Linked DNA regions of Coturnix japonica. The protein of the gene in region 1 purifies or fractionates together with the protein of each later gene. This does not show direct contact. Links are inferred from orthologs where the notes say so. Each region holds a gene or a part of one and is shown in the gene's direction. Other genes may lie near its edges. The genes, in order: HDAC11, ATG2B, TFIP11 and PAXBP1.

Evidence for each region.
Region 2: the proteins of HDAC11 (region 1) and ATG2B purify together in Homo sapiens (co-immunoprecipitation; 3 studies listed by BioGRID and IntAct, counting the BioPlex papers as one, with this or other methods). This does not show direct contact. The link is inferred for Coturnix japonica from reciprocal best matches to the Homo sapiens genes HDAC11 and ATG2B.
Region 3: the proteins of HDAC11 (region 1) and TFIP11 purify together in Homo sapiens (co-immunoprecipitation; 3 studies listed by BioGRID and IntAct, counting the BioPlex papers as one, with this or other methods). This does not show direct contact. The link is inferred for Coturnix japonica from reciprocal best matches to the Homo sapiens genes HDAC11 and TFIP11.
Region 4: the proteins of HDAC11 (region 1) and PAXBP1 purify together in Homo sapiens (co-immunoprecipitation; 3 studies listed by BioGRID and IntAct, counting the BioPlex papers as one, with this or other methods). This does not show direct contact. The link is inferred for Coturnix japonica from reciprocal best matches to the Homo sapiens genes HDAC11 and PAXBP1.

What each region holds. Positions count from the first base shown.
Region 1 is NC_029527.1:3,871,176-3,875,324, forward strand, and holds the start of HDAC11 (histone deacetylase 11), read left to right. Parts: upstream 1-1,335; 5' UTR 1,336-1,483; coding exon 1,484-1,485; intron 1,486-2,123; coding exon 2,124-2,272; intron 2,273-4,149. UniProt on the Homo sapiens protein: Responsible for the deacetylation of lysine residues on the N-terminal part of the core histones (H2A, H2B, H3 and H4).
Region 2 is NC_029520.1:42,141,058-42,145,269, reverse strand, and holds the start of ATG2B (autophagy-related protein 2 homolog B), read left to right. Parts: upstream 1-1,407; coding exon 1,408-1,569; intron 1,570-2,832; exon of another isoform or gene 2,833-2,856; coding exon of another isoform or gene 2,857-2,928; intron 2,929-4,212. Other genes in the region: GSKIP (GSK3B-interacting protein), read right to left, coding at 135-152, 780-1,433. UniProt on the Homo sapiens protein: Lipid transfer protein required for both autophagosome formation and regulation of lipid droplet morphology and dispersion.
Region 3 is NC_029530.1:6,267,167-6,271,307, reverse strand, and holds the start of TFIP11 (tuftelin-interacting protein 11), read left to right. Parts: upstream 1-1,290; 5' UTR 1,291-1,382; coding exon 1,383-1,579; intron 1,580-2,323; coding exon 2,324-2,327; intron 2,328-4,141. UniProt on the Homo sapiens protein: Involved in pre-mRNA splicing, specifically in spliceosome disassembly during late-stage splicing events. Intron turnover seems to proceed through reactions in two lariat-intron associated complexes termed Intron Large (IL) and Intron Small (IS).
Region 4 is NC_029516.1:94,521,168-94,524,729, reverse strand, and holds part of PAXBP1 (PAX3- and PAX7-binding protein 1), read left to right. Parts: intron 1-243; coding exon 244-388; intron 389-533; coding exon 534-655; intron 656-973; coding exon 974-1,050; intron 1,051-1,314; coding exon 1,315-1,381; intron 1,382-2,910; coding exon 2,911-3,057; intron 3,058-3,367; coding exon 3,368-3,522; intron 3,523-3,562. UniProt on the Homo sapiens protein: Adapter protein linking the transcription factors PAX3 and PAX7 to the histone methylation machinery and involved in myogenesis.

The sequences.
Region 1 (4,149 bases):
ACTTCAAAAATAAGCTCGTTTGCCAATTTCCCTCATTCTCCTGAATATGAAACAAATTATATAAGCAGATGTAATAAACATACAGTTACAGGTGGCCTGACCAGGCAGTCTCTTTCCTACAGGACTCTATTCAGACACATCTTTCTATTTGCCAAAATAAGGCTCTGCTAGTAAATTAGACTCCAGCACCATTCTTCAAATGAATCTGTGCGGGTAGATCCTTTCAAAGAGGCCAAATCACACCAACAGCCTGAAAAGAGTTTCTGAGAAGGCCAGGGTTGTCATCTGGAGGGGGGGAAAAATCAATCAATCTGAAGCCATATTATATAGTATTTCCCTTTGCAAAGGAATCTTCCCCTCCCAAAGGTGTTTTTTATGGTTTTCAACATGAAATGAATGATTTCCTGGATGATAAAGAGCAAACTAAATAGGCCAACCTTGGGAGTTAATAAGTTGCTGGTTATTTGTTATAACAATGATATGTCTGTGCTTTCGAGTATGCAGCAATTAATAAAGTCCCTTAGCACAGAGCACCACTGTTATCCATAATATTGTCAAAACCTTTTAAGTTGTACTTTGTTTCTAAAGAAGTAGAAATGAAAAGGGGTAAAACTTTCCCTTTGTCTTGCAAAAATAGAGCTATCAGTCTGAAAATAACATGGATGCACTGTACAAGCTGGACTGTAATTAATTTTCTTACTTTTATATGAACGCTAAATGGCAGAATGCACCTGAAGAGCAATTTACCATACCGACAAATGAGGAAGCCTGTCTGCAAATGTGATTTTTTAATTTAAGTTCAGGAGTTAGTTTAAATGAAAATGAAATAACATACTTGGAACTAATGAATCAAACAACACTAGGACTCTAATTAAGCATCCAGCATTAGATGGTTAGAAACAAAGATTAAAGGTGGGGATGCTTGAACTAACACTGAGGCACATGCACAAAGGGCTGGAACAAAAAGCTTAATTAAAAGATAATGTCAAAGGGATGGGATGTTTTGTTGGGATAATGGGCTCCTGCTGCACTATTAATGACATCCAGGAATCCATCAAAACGAAGGCCAGCCTAAACTGGCATATTTAGAACGGTGAGATATTTATCTGCAGCTTTCACAAAGGGGCGGTGTGCTTCCTGAGTGCTTCTGTGCCTTGTGTGCACAGCTACTATATATTGCTGCTATAGATGGGCAGTTTCTCGTGATGGTGCTATTGATTTAGCTGTACAGTTGCATAAGAAATGCTGTTTGTGGACGTTCAAGCAGGGTTTTTCAAGTACTCTCGGTGCCTTTTGCCTTAGAGCTCAGCTCCCTCCTGGGCAGTGCCAGCCCAACACGAATCCACCCACCTCCCCGCCCGCCTGGGCCCGGCCCCTCCGTGTCTCCGCCCGCGGCGGGCGGGCCTTGGGGCTGGCGGTGCCTGGCCGCGGGGCGACCCTTCCCCCTGCGCGGCTTCACGGGTCGCCCCAGCCCGGCGTGGGGATGTGAGTATGGCCGGGGGCTGCGGGTGGGCTGAGCCCGGTGCTGTAGTGGGGGCTGTGCCGGCAGCGGGCCGCAATGAGGGTTGGGCCGCGCTCAGGCCCGGCGGAGGCCTGCTCGGCTGCGGGGCCCGGCGGTGGGTGGGTGTAGGGTGCCGGGAGCCCTGGCACTGCAGAGCCTGGGTGTGAGCGTCGTGTCCCAGTCGGGGTTACCTCTGGGCTTGGCCTGACTGGCCAAAAGTGTTTGCACATGAGCCTGGAAACACCTCTATTCAAAGTTATGTTCTAAGGCAGGGCTTAGTGATCATGGAAGACTATGAGAGAGAAGCAAATGTTTCCATTAATTCATGTCTGCAGTAAAGTACATGTGCATAATGCGCTCACAGTACATTCCTTAGTCCTTTCTTTCTTTTCCTTCTTGCTAATTATTTTAAGAGTTTTGACTGTGCTGCTGGGAACTGAGGACTGTGATGCAACAAACAGGTGCTCCTGTCTGTAACTAAGGGGATTGGGATGCTCGGGAGCTGTTCCTGATGTAAAGCTGTGATTGCTAAGGACTTGTAGCTTGGGAATCCAGTGAAAAATATTCAGGTGCATAAGCAATTGACTAAAGATGGTAATTAGTTTGGCTTTTGCTTTTCAAGGCCTCACAGAACCGAGTTATATGAAGGTGTTCCACCAACTTGCTGGCCTATCGTGTATTCTCCAGACTATAACATCACGTTCATGGGACTGGAGAAACTACACCCGTTTGATGCAGGGAAATGGGGAAAAGTGATCAACTTCTTGAAAGGTAAAACAAACAAAAACACCCCACCACGTAGACCAACATTCGAATGAACCAATGTTATTAATGCTAATAATTAATTACATCATTACTGCTCCTTGTATAGACTTAAATTATGCACTTTAATCATTGGAGTGCTTTAATATGTTTAAGTATGTGTAGACTTAAATCCAAAGAAGTTAAATTGATGGCAGAATTTGTTTGGTGGGTTGAATGCTGTATTGTACTTTGTTGAAGATGTTGCACATTAAACAGATGAAATTGTTGGAGCAAGCATCCTACACCAGGGCACTGTAATACAAAGGTTTATTTCACAGTCCTTTGGAAATGTAGGTTCTTGCTCGCTCCACTGAACAAAGCCCAGTTTTGTCTCAGTCATGGTGTCTGTGCAGAGTGAAACTCATGAAATGTGACTGAAAATTCAAGCTCATTATACAACTTACTCTTCCCAGCGGCGTGAATAATACTAGTCAGAGTAACCAGCTTGGTGGACTCCATTCTGGCCTAGAACTTTTACTGGGCTGAATAAAAAGGATTAAGGAGAAACGTGAGCATAGCAATGTGTTAGACAATCTTAAAATATTTCTGGGCTTTGGGATTTGAAGACAAGCATGAACTGTGCAGAATTTCATAGTTTGACCTTTACAAGAAAGATGCATGTAGAATAAGAAAAATTTCTACCCCTAAAGTGAGCACCAGAGTCTTGACTTAAATCACAGCCTGAGTCAGGTGCCGTATGTGCATAGTTCAGTGCTGTGTTTTGACTTCAGCAGAGTTATGATGATTCTTGCCTTTTCTTGCAGTGTACGTACAAATGTATGAGAACATTTCCATTAAGTTTCCTCTTGAAGACAGATGCTGTTTTCAATTCCAGTTTCTTCCTTCTTTTTGAGGACTAAGCATCCAAAATGAAATGCAGACTTTAGTTTTCTGACCAAAATTGCAAATCCTTCCTGTGTTAGCTTCAAGCTTTCAGTTTGGCTTGCAAAACCTGCCGTGCAGTTTGAGAGTACCATGGTACCATGTACACTTTTCTCTAGCCAATGTGCTAGAGCATGTCTGACTTGGGAAACCTCTGCTGTTGATGACTGCCTTGCTGTGGGCTGTAATGTAGTTTACTCATGAGACTGCAGGTAGTCTACTGGTAAATGGCACTTTTTAAGCGTGTATCAGCGCAGCCTATCTCAATCTTTCTCAACCTCATGATACTATTTAGATAATATCTCTGGGGGAGCTTTGAAACCCCTCTTGTGGCAAGAACTTTGTGTTGATGCTCATTATTACTTCTTAAATAAATCTGAAAATGTAGACAAATACCTCAAGGAAATACAAATGTGAGGACTAAGATTAGGATCAGAGCCTTTAAAGCCTTTATCTAAAATGTGAGTTTTCTCATCAAATTGGACGGGGGGAAAAAATGACAAAAAACCCCCCAAACACTTGCCAAAACAAAGGCTGTCCAAGAGTCAGGCCTGTGCAGCTCATGTGGGTCTAGGGACTAATTCAGCTGATGATCTTTCTCAGTAAAATGTTGCCCTTCCTACTTTAGGCTCCCTTGTATTCATTTAACTGAGGTTAAATGACTTCCAACACCATTTATTAGCAATGTTTTCGATCTGACCTCTGATGATCTTTACTATCAGAACCTTTGCCTCTCTGCTCCTGCCCCATGTAGCCTTTTTTTTCCAGTTCTGTGTGAAATTTCTACTCTTCACACTTGTCTTTCACGAAAAACTAGTTTTCCCAAACATTTAACCCTCATTTCACTGTAAAAGAGAAAAGCCACGGGGTACCTTATGACGTTCCCGGTTTTCTATAGCTCTATAGCAACTCCTGATCTGTGCTGTTTCCTATTATCTTCTAGAAAAGTCACCAATGAAAAT
Region 2 (4,212 bases), on another chromosome or scaffold:
CAGACTCTGTGTTATTGGTCAACTCCATAGGACTGCAGTCAGTTTCCATTCTGCATGTGGAAGCATTTGTTTTAGATTCATCATCCGAGTATGGTCAGTATAGTACATTTATACCATAGAGCTAGAGCTACATCCTAAGTAGGTGTATATACCTTTGGAAATAAGAATAAAAATAAAAAAAATAAAATATGAAAGCTAATGAATCCTGCAGCGATCCAGAAAAGCCAAAACAAAGCTCCTGAGAACCTTCAGGTTACATCAGCACGTGAAGTATTATTACTTAAGGAGTTGCTATGCAAGCAGCTCGTGCTGTGTTGTATAAGACTCCGATATGATTCAGCAGTAACTAATTCAGCACTTTGCTGATCCCAAAAGCACCGGGAAAACCAAATTAGGTATGAAAAAGCTTTAACAAGCGGCTGTTGTAAATAATAACCTGTCTTCCGTGAATTTAAATAAGACTTAGGAGGGCCTGTGAACTAAATGGGTTATCAGCCATTACGAGGGCAAAAATAACAGCAGTTTTCTGTTCAGCCTCGCTAAACAACGACTCCCTCACTCGGTTTTCACGCACAACTATCAGCACAGCCCACCAGTGTCAGACATGAGCAGGATTCGCGGCCATCTCCCTTTAACGGGAGAGCTGGTCGCGGAGCTGCCGAGCTTCTGCTCCTCGGAGAACTGCTACGATGTACCGACGCTCACAGCACGCACAGATCACAGCCGAGCAGCAGGGCCGGAATCCTTCCTCCCACCGCGCCCTGAGGCGTTCCACCTACCAGCCCCAGCGCCCAGCTCCACACTGTTGCGCCGCCCGCTGTCCCGCCGAAGCGCGGCCGCCCCGCTGGCTCTACACTGACCCCCCTCCGGTGCGGCCGCCGCCGCCACCACCCCCCACTCGGCGCCTCCCGCAGCCGCTTCCGCCTCCGCCTCCTCCGCTCGGAGACGCCACTTCCGCTGTGCGTCACGGTGCCGGTGACGGGGTTCGGCGTGGTGGGGGTGGAAGGCGCTGAGCGGTTCGCATCGCTCTCACCCGGCCGTGCCAGCGGCGGGAGCCGGCGCGGGGAACGACCCCGGCCGCTTCCCGGTCCCTTCCCTCCGCCGCCACCCCTCGTGCCGTGCGGTGCCGCCGTCCCCTCCGCGCTCGCGGGGCGCCGGGAAGATGGCGGCGGCGGTGGCCGAGTGAGGATGGAGCTACCTGTGGGCGCCTGAGGGCAGGCGGTGCCGCCCCACCGGCCGAGCGAGGGGCGCTGGGGGATCCCGGCTGCGGGCAGCCCGCGCTGAGGGGCGAGACTGGGCCCGGCCGCTTCCGCACGCTCCATCTCCGAGCGGCCGCCCCGGCCCCATCCCCGTCCCGATCCCAGCCCCGATCCCAGCCCTGATCGCGGCTCCCGGCCCGCAGCCACCATGCCGTGGCCGTTCTCGGAGTCCATCAAGAAGAGGGCCTGCAGGTATCTGCTGCAGAGGTACCTGGGCCACTTCCTGCAGGAGAAGCTCAGCCTGGAACAGCTCAGCCTGGATCTCTACCAGGGCACCGGCTCTCTGACGCAGGTCCCGCTGGACAAGTGGGTAAGAGACGCCTCGGTGCCCGAGGGAGCCGCTGATCGCTGCCCTCGGCTGCACCCGCCCGGTGCTCTGTCCCCATGACCTGGTTTTGTTGTTATTTTTGACGATAGGAGAGGAAAGGGGGAACAGTGTTGGCATTGTAACTAAAGGAAGGCGAGAATTGGTGGCAGGGAGAAGGAGGAGCTAATATTACCCGGGCTACCAGCAATTGCTCCTGTGCCTGCCGAGAATGTTGTGTACTCGCTGCTAGCAGAGATGACATAAACAGCGATCCCTGCTTTAACTACCATTTGTCTTCAGCTTGGATGCGGCTTAGCTCTTACTGACAGTGTTGTGCTGAACTTGGGGCTGGTTTTAGACCTCTGCATAGCCTGGTCTTGAAATGCTGGAGGTCTGTGTTGGAAATGGAAAGCTGCTTTCAGCTGCGCGTGCTCAGCAGGTGGGCTGCCATGCTTGGAGCCAGCCGAAGCTTTATTCAGTCCTGATGTGTGTATATATAAACGTGTATCTGTATGTATACAACTGTACACACACACGTATGTGTTCTTCCAGCCTAACGTAGTAACACAAAGTTCTGTGTCCCTCATTGTAGTATTTCGTAAAGTTTCTGGGGTTAATTACTAATGTTACTTTGTTGTACCTGTGAGTCCAGAGACTGTCATGAGGAGCCTTAAGCGCTTGTGCGCGTCACTCATTGACTTTCAAGGCAGCATATATGATTAAGTGCGCAGGCTTACTGCTTCACACGCTGCTTTCAAAACATGTTTTTAGTATACTGTGTTATTTTAAAATGCTTGTAAATGTCAGATTTTCCCATAGTTCTTTTCCAGTTATTATATGAAGTATGTTTGAAAGTGGCAGAAGACAGACTTTTGCTGAAATGCTCAGCATGACCAGCGTTTTAATGTAGGTTTTGCTGTTGTTTAGAGGTTTTTTTGTTTGCTTTCCTGTCTTGTGTGAGGCTTTAATTGAAACGTTATGCCCTCTAGTGGGTGTCACAGCAGTCTTCATTATTTACAATATAAATGCTTGGAAACCATAGCAGTACAGTACATAAAGACAGTACTAAATGAATAGTTAATTATGTATACAGGGTGATTAAATGCATATTTGCTGATACTCAGGTTATCTTTCCCCTTTGTAGATCAGTATTTGTCTTTCTGACTTGTAAACAATGAATGACACGTTTAAGGTTCTCTGCACGTGACTCTCTGTATGACAGATTGCAAAACAGATGTTATGGAAGTACTGCAGCTCTGTTTTCCTCTAGTCATCGTAACCTGGTTCTCGATGAATCATCAGAATGAGTGTGGCTTGCTAGTTGGCTTATCCATTTTTGTGGATACTTTTACTCATCTTAATGTAGGTATTTTAGCCAATATTATACGTGTGTTTATGGCTTATAGAGATAGCAGGAATGCCTGGGACTGTTGCTGTAACTTCTTTATTTTCTGGGTTGTTTAGAAAAGTTGTGGTTGAATTATAATATACACTGAATAGTGCTTTAGCTGGTGGTACAGCTGTGATTCCAGCTCTGCGTGTTCAATCCATGTGAGAACAAGTCCTGATGAAAACACTGTGCTTCACCTTTAGAATTAACATTATAATGATCCAAACTCTTTTTTACAGGAACAATTAGTAGAAAAATGCTTTACATTTACACACACACATATACATATATTTGTTTTTCCTTTAAAATGGTAAATTCCTGTTTAAAAGTAATGGAGAATACTTAAATATTTTCATTGCAAGGTAGCAAAAAGATTTCAGAGTTCAGATTTATTCAAAATCGGTTTCAGTAGTTTACTTCCTTCTATAGCAAATTTATCTATAAAGGTCTGAGTAATTTAACTTATTTGGTGGTTATTTCAAATAAGTTTTTCATGCTAAGTATTTTTTTTAATCTTCAGTTATTATCTTATTAATGATTAATACATTTAATTGAAAATAAGATCTTAATGTCACTGAATCCTTCCAGCAGTTTGATTGTTAACTTCCTAACAGAGCTGTTTCAGGCCCTGTTTGTTAGCAGTGAATGTCTTTTTCTACTTCTTGAATAGACTTTGGAACAGAAACTGGAAAAGTAAACACAATCTAAAAGCAAAGTTACTAAGAGTATAAATAGAGCAGCAAGTGAATGTGACAAGTAGAACTGAAGACTTAGTAATGAAAGATATTGTTTCCTGAAGTTTTTCATTTCATTTTTATGTTTGATTCTATGGAACAAATAGAAAATGTCTTTAAAATCCTTATCTGTGTGTTAATCATAAATTTATACTTCTTGAGATAAAAAATCAGTGTTTTCTTCAAGACAGGAAGGTCAAACCCACACGTTTTTATCTGTCAGATAGTATATCTAAAGACTGCAACCACATCTTTTGTAGGATCTTGTGTAGGAAGTTGCACTCACCAAATTTGGTATGTGACTTCGATTTTGTTTATTTTATTAGCCTTGGTGGTGCTTATTGAATTAAAATGGAAACTGTTGAACTTCTGAATCAGCACAAAGAAGCGGGTTCCTTTTATGTGCGTGTGTATTGGCAGGAATATACTGGGTTTTATAGTTGGCTCTTTCAGTTGCAGTGAAAGCTCTATAGTGCAAAAAAGTTTCTTTTCTGAGGATTTGGGACAGTGTCACAGTCCTGA
Region 3 (4,141 bases), on another chromosome or scaffold:
GTCGTGTATGTGTGTTGAGCCCCAGCAGAAGGGGGGATGTGCCCTGTGTGCATTTCACAAGGGGGTGGTGGTGTTTGCTGCCAGCTTGGGAGAACAGAACAGCTCTCCTTGATTTCTGCAGCAGCTGTTTGTGTGTCAAAGGCTCTGAGTACAAACAGGTGCTGTTGCCCATCACGCAGGGGTTGGAGCTCAGCATCCAACAATTGCTGTCTCACAGTGGTTTTCAAGTTGGCTGTTGGGACTTCCTGACTGCTCAGACTGTTTCTTCCCTTGCAGGCTGCTGCAAACGGCCCAGGGTGGCTCCGTAAAGAAGAGTTTGCAGTTGCACCGATGGAGATCTGTTATCCAAGCATATTGCTTGCTGATATTGCCAAAATGACTGCTGTGCCAGGAATGTATTTGCATTTATTTGCAAAGGCCAAACGTTGTACACTTCGATACCACTCGTCTCCCTTCGCTGGATGCTCCGTGGTGAAAGATCTGTGGAAATGAAGCACGACCGACCCTCCAAAGTGCATTGGAAAAGAGATTTCCTGTTATTTTCAGTGTCTCGTAATGCTGTTCCTTATACGTGCAGATCAGAATAGGTGTCATAACCGTGTATAGAGCATTTGTTGTACAGGTGACAATGCGGCGGACTGTCTCTTCCGTTCACTTGTCATTGACAGATTCTATTTAAGAATTAATATATGAGGTCAATCGTTTCACTCCTGGCTGCACTCATTCGAGTAAACTCTTGGAAAGGGCTGACAATAGCAGGACACGGGGAAATGGTTTTACCAGTTAAAAAGAGGGAAGATTTAGCGTTGCGATTGTTTGGGGGGAAGCTTCTTCACTAGGGAGAGTGGTTGAACCCTAGGAACAGGCTGCCCAGGGAGGGTTGTGGATGCCCCGTCCTTGGAGGTGTTCCAAGGCAGGTTGGAACGTGCCTGGGCTAACGCTGATCTATGGGGATCTATGGGGTCTCTATGCGGGATTCTATGGGTCTCTATGGGCGATCTTATGGGTGGTCGTATGGGTCTCCTGGGGCAACCTGACTAGTAAAGGTGTAATTTTTGGGTGGCCCTGCCAGGCCAGGGGGGCTTTGGAACTACATGATCCTCTGAGGGTCCCCTTCCAACCCGGGTCATTCTGTGATTCGTTTCTCATGACTAGAGAAGTGATTTAATGTCACAGAGCTGCCTCTCGGGATACCTCCCGAGGAGCTGCTCACTCGACAGGGGGCCTAGAGGGGCGCGTTCCTTCTAGCCAGCATCTCTATGGTTAGGGCATGGTTAAAGTGACGTATTTTTCCGTCGCCGGAAGTGATGAGGTTCGGTTCCGTCCCGCCGCCATAAAGAGCGGTAGGTTGGAGCGGGGCCGGGTCGTCGCTCGGATCCATCATGTCGATGTCACACTTATACGGCACGGACGGGGAGGATGGAGTGGAAATGGAGAACTTCGAAGTGTCGGATTGGGACCTTCAGAACGAATTCAACCCACACCGGCATCGCCACCGGCAGACCAAGGAGGAGGCCACCTATGGCGTGTGGGCCGAGCGGGATTCGGACGATGAGAGGCCCAGCTTCGGCGGCAAGCGGTGCGGGATGGACCGGGCCGGGCTATGGGGGATGGTCACATAGGCCCAAAGGGCGTCAGGGCAGCAGGGGGTTGGGTTGTGGGGTATAGTGGGGTAATAATAAAGTGTGTTATAGATATAGGTTAAGCTAATACATAATCAGATAGTCTCCTCTCTCCAGTTCTGATTACATATTCATTACGTTCCCTATGACTCCCCGTTCCCCGCAACCCATTCCTTCATTCCCCCTGACCCATTCCAACTGACCCGCCCCTTAATAGCAGGACACGGGGGAAATGGTTTTAAGTTGAAAGAGGAAGATTTTCAGGTTGGATGTTTAGGGGCGAAGTTCTTCACTAAGGAGAGTGGTAGCCTGGACAGGCTGCCCAGGAGGTTGTGGGATGCCCCGTCCTTGAGGTGTTCAGACGCAGGTTTGGACGGGGCCCTGGGCAACCTGATCTAGTAAAAGGTGTATGTTTGGTGGGCCCTGCCAGGCAGGGGGTTGGAACTCCCATGAACCTTGCAGGTCCCTCCAAACCCGGGTCATTCTGTGATTCTGTGACCCTTGGCCGTTGTTTTTGGGGTGAAATTCTTGCCTGTTTTTTTTTCTTACTTGGTGTTATCTGCTGGTATCGTTCTCCCATGTCAGCGATCATCCTTGCCCGGGGGTATCTAATCTTTACACTTCTTATCTTATTGCCGCCTCTTCTCTGGTTTTTCTTTTCGACTAAGTGTCTGTAATTCCCCTTTTCCCTGCCCTTTTAGAATGGTACACTATCTACAGTTTACCCTTTGTCTTGGTTTCTGTGAAAGTTCCCCTTTCTATTCTATGCAAGAGTGTTACCTTTACCATCCATTTTGGTGGCTCTTGCTCACTCTTACAATTCCCCCTTTTCTTTATACATAGCAGGCCTTTTACCTCTAGATTCTTAAGGGTCTCAAATTACATATATGACTCCGTTCTCTACCCTTATGTCTCACAAACGCTCGTATTGCCTTTGCTGTACAGCTTAAGTGAGGATAGGAATCCGTAGTAGTTATTACGTTTGTAAACAAGCACATAGAGCACTTTACTACTATACAGGTAAAACTTATTAACAGCACCAAGATGGCTATAAATTGGAGATTTACCGATCGAAAATGAGCTAGCTGTTATCAGATAACGCCTACAATTTCGTGGTTATACCAGCTCGAAGTGGAGTTAGTGGTTCCCACAAATCCTTTATCTTTCGCCTGAGAACCTAGTGTTATCAATATGCGCGACACAGGTAAAACACGTTGCTCAGCTCAATCTTCACCAAGGAGGAGGAATACCGATGTTATGTCTTCGAGAGGTCAATGGAAAGCATCGTTTGAAGAACTCGACAGGTCTTAGGTTTTGGTTCAGTCTCTACACTATACGGAGGAATGATAAACAGGTAACCGCTCCCTCGATAAGTGGCTGGAGATTGTGGTTGACCGAGTCCCCACCGCGGTGAAACTTCAATGAAGCCGGCGGAGAGCGCGGGCTTGAGCGAGTCTCGGTGTGTGGAAGGGAATCTACTGATGAAGATGAGAAGCCCCATTTAGTAGCCATGGAGGAAAAATCCCTAAAATGGGAAATAGTTGCCGAAGACAGTTGAAAAAACAGTGAGTGAGCGCAGAGGGAATACTGAGGCGAGTTGGTGCTTTGTTTCAGCCTGGAGAAGAGATAGGTTTGCGGGGTGACCTCATTGCAGCCTTTCACCAATATCTGAAGGGAACATTATTCTGCCCAGAAAGGGAGTAACAGCTCTTGGAAGGGCTGATCAATAGCAGGACTACGGGGAAATTAGGTCTTTAAGTTAAAAGAGGAAGTATTAGCAGTTGGGATGTTAGGGGGAAGTTCTTTAAGCTAGGTAAGAGTGGTTGAGGCCCTGGAAAAGGCTGCCCAGGGAGGTTGTGGATGCGCCCGTCTTTAGTAGTGTTTCCAAGGCAGGTGGTAAAGCGGGGTCCCACTGGGCATTACCTGATCTATGTAAGTTGTGTTATTGTTTTGGTGGCCCTGCTATGGCAGGTGGGGGTGATTCCTTGAGGTCTGCCGACGGTCCTCACTCTGGAGTCATTCTTGTAGTGAATTTCTGTTGTAGATAGTGGATACTATGATCTGTTTGTCGTGAGCTCTAAGAGGATAATTTCTGAGGTTCTTGCGGTATAAACAGAGCTATTCTGAAAGAAATGTGCCTTCATTTGTCGCCAGATGTGGGCAAGTTTAGTGTGGATTAGTATAGTATACTTCCCTTTTACAGAATTAGGGTTATGGTGCTGAATAGGCTCCAAGGTGTTAGGTTCCTGATATTGCCGCAAGGCTTGGTTGTGTTTAAGAGCCGTTTGGATGTGGTGCCTCAGGATATGATTAGGTCAGTAAAGGGTTTTTAGAGTTAGGGCATCTGGTTAGGCTGCGGTTGGACTTGATGATCTTCAAGGTCTTTTCCAACCTGGGTAATTCTATGATTCTAAAGGGAGAACCAATTAACACTGATGTAGCACGTGGGTTATGGCATGAATTTGAGGGTTGTGTTTTTATTTTCATGGATATCCTGATGTACTGCTGTGTACCCCTGG
Region 4 (3,562 bases), on another chromosome or scaffold:
CAAATGGACTCTGTTTTTCATGTTTCCCTTATTGTGCTCAGGTGTAGTTAGTTGTTAAAATACGTTGGGTGGCAGCAGCTGCCCACAAAAGTAGTCTTGCTTCAACCATTTTCACTTTCATGTGATTTGGTGATTGTGTGATTCTACAACGAATTTGTTCATTTGGCTGTTATTCTTTATTTTAATGTCTTGACTTCAAATGTCTGTTTAAGAAGCTAATATCTTCTCAATTCATTTTATTAGGGCAAATGTCAAGATTTTGAGACTATGTTGTGGTTTGAATCGTTGCTCTTTTATGGCTGTGAAGAACAGGAGCAAGAAAAAGACGATGCTGATATTTCACTATTACCTACTATTGTAGAGAGAGTTGTTCTTCCTAAATTAACAGGTATAATCTTAGGAAAAACAAAGGGGGAGGAGAAGGAAGTCGATGATTATTTATGCCATTAGATTTTACTGCTTTGTAAATTACTGTCCTTCTATCTGTATTTGAGCATTTGCAAAATGGAGTAATTCTTTTATCTCTTTACTAGTGATTTCTGAAAATATATGGGATCCTTTTTCTACAACACAAACATCAAGAATGGTAGCAATTGTACAAAAACTAGTAAATGGATATCCTTCAGTGGTTAATGCTGAAAACAAAAATACACAAGTAAGTTTGCTCTTTTTCACGAGTGTCTTGGATAACGTTAAGGAATTTGAGTGTATTTGTAATACACTATATTGGGAAAAATATAGCATGTTTAATGAGGGTCAAAATGTAGTTGTTGGGAGTTTTGTTTAATTATTTGATGTTCTGTTGACTAATTAGAGATAGCAAATGTACTAAGACTTGTTAGTCTGCTTGTCCGTGCTCTGTGAAATTTTAGGATCACAAATGCTCTTTATTGTTTTTAAATGAATTTCTGAGTGCTTAACTACTAAGCATTACAATGTCTGTTATTAAAAAAAAAATAAAAATCTCTTTCAGATGCTTTTAAAGGCATTGTTGCTAAGAATGAGGAGAACGCTAGATGATGATGTATTCATGCCCTTATATCCAAAAAAGTAAGTCTGCTGTCAACTATGGTACTAGACTTCTCTATTAACAGGTCAGTGTCTTCTGACCATGGCATTGGTAAGGTTTTTTCCATACCTCTGCATTGTTCACTGGCTGTATGTGGGAACAAATTGATTACCATGAGGAATTATCAGAAAACAAGCAAAATGGAAGAATTTATAGAAATGAACTTTGTTTGGGAAGGAGGAGGTCAGCAAACTTCAGATGGAAGTGACAGTGTTTGCTCATGAAAGAAATCTTTTACTTTCCAGCGTCTTAGAAAACAAGAACTCTGGTCCATATTTGTTCTTCCAACGTCAGTTTTGGTCCTCTGTTAAGGTAAGTCACTAAATGCATCTGTTAAATTTCTGGTGCAGTCAGCATAGCAATAAAATCCCCTTCATATTTGTGGAAAATGGTAGATGGAAAATGGCTTTCTCTCTAGCTGAAAGAACTCTGAAGTAGGGTTCTTAGCCTTCTGTAACACGCTGTGTCCTCTTCAAAAAACTGCTAAGCGAAAGGGCATCGTTTTTATTTTTACACTGTGGGTTTCTTTGGCATATTTGTTGACCAAGGTTTTTTAATGTCATTGTATTTGTTTTTAAAAAAGAAAAAAAAAATTTAATTTACTTCTGTAGTAATGAGAGGATTTTTTTCTGTATTTCTTTAAGTAGCATGAGAATTTTCATGAAAATAACTTAGATAAACGGACAGTTCTCTATATCCCTCTGGAAAACCTGTTGATATATGTAAAATATAAAGCAGCTCTCATCTTAGTTTACTTGAAATGATGAAGAGTGTGAAAGAAATGTCCATTTGTGGAAGGTGCTCCATAGAGTTGTCAGAGGTCTATAAGAAGCTGTAACTGTTGTAATTTTTATCCTTCTATTGGAAGTGTTAACTCAGCTAAATAGGCAAGTATGAGACACTGACTGAACTGCTGAATTCCATAGTCATACAAACAACTTTTATCTGGGTTTTTTGCTGTTTAAAAGAGAGGGAGACCTTACACTGAATGGGTTTGCATTCACATCATTTACTACATTCAGCACTGAGTTCTTTGAAGTAGAAGTCAACTTCTTAAGTGCTGCCCAGAGCAAGAAGGGCATAAAGCTTATTTATGAGAATGTTGTTGTTAAGAGTGCTAACACTTCTATGGCTTGTGTCTCTTAAGAATGAAACTGCCCATTTCTGGCAATATTTTTTGGAGCATGGGCCATTTAGAGCTGCACATACTGTACCTGCAAGGCAGGTACAGATAGCATTGCAGAAGATCAGAGATAGAAGCTGGGAAGCAAGTCCCTTATTACTGTTTTCTGATGATCTGCTTTGACAGTGTACTGCCAGCTGTGTTCCCTTCTACAAAGCTGGCAGCAGTTTTCCACAGGCTGTGTATATACCGCTGGGGAATAACAGCTGTACTGTTGGCTTAGCCAGCACTTCCCTTCAGACAGTTTCTGTGCCTTTTGTTTGAGCGTGCCTTGGAAACAAGGGCACACTGACAGCTTGCCTGGCAGTCTCACTGATGAGAGGCTGTGGACTTGCCCCTGTGTGGCATATGCTAGGTCTTGCTTGACTTGATATTGACATCACATTTTGAGGTCAAAATGACCTGAAACTTTAGGGGCTTTTTCAACGGTTCTTTGGGCAAACATAAGCAACGTTTAGATGATGGTTGTTGTACAAGAATTTATAACACTCTAAGCTGTTACTTTATGAATTCTGAACACGTTTAGAACTATCAGAAGGCATATTCTTTTTGCTTTACTTAAGCTATGCTGCTGCACTTGAAGAGTCTGTAGATACTTGATTAACTTTAAAGATTCATGACAATTTAAACTATTATTTTCCCTGTACTGTATTTTCAGTTGTTAGGAAACTTTCTCCAGTGGTATGGAATCCTTTCAAACAAAACCCTCCAGGAGCTGTCAATAGATGGCCTACTGAATAGATACATTCTTATGGCTTTTCAAAACTCCGAGTATGGAGATGACAGCATTAAGAAGGCGCAAAGTGTGAGTATATCAAACAAAATATTTAATATGTATTTAAAACTCACGATTACCTCTGAAACTTTGGTTTTGGTATCTAAATACTGTAGTGTTGATGAACCAAAGAGAAGCTTCTCTGGCTTATGCTTGGAGAGATTCAGTGTTTTATCGCTTGAAGTTTGGAACTGATGGAGGTGGAGGGGAGTTCCTGTTACATTCACTTGAGTCTTGTAGACACAGTCTTACCTGGTGACTTCACAGATTGTGGCATTAAACTTTTAACATTTGTTGTTTTGGTTTTTTTTAACCTTTTTTTTCCCCCTGTTTTGTCTAGGTAATTGCTTGCTTTCCTAAACAGTGGTTTGTTAATCTAAAAGGAGACAAGACTATTTCTCAGCTAGAAAACTTCTGTAGATACCTTGTTCATCTGGCTGATACAATTTACAGAAACAGCATTGGTTGCTCTGATGTAGAGAAAAGAAATGCAAGGTAACTTAGTTTGAATGATTCAATTGCAATACTTGTGCTT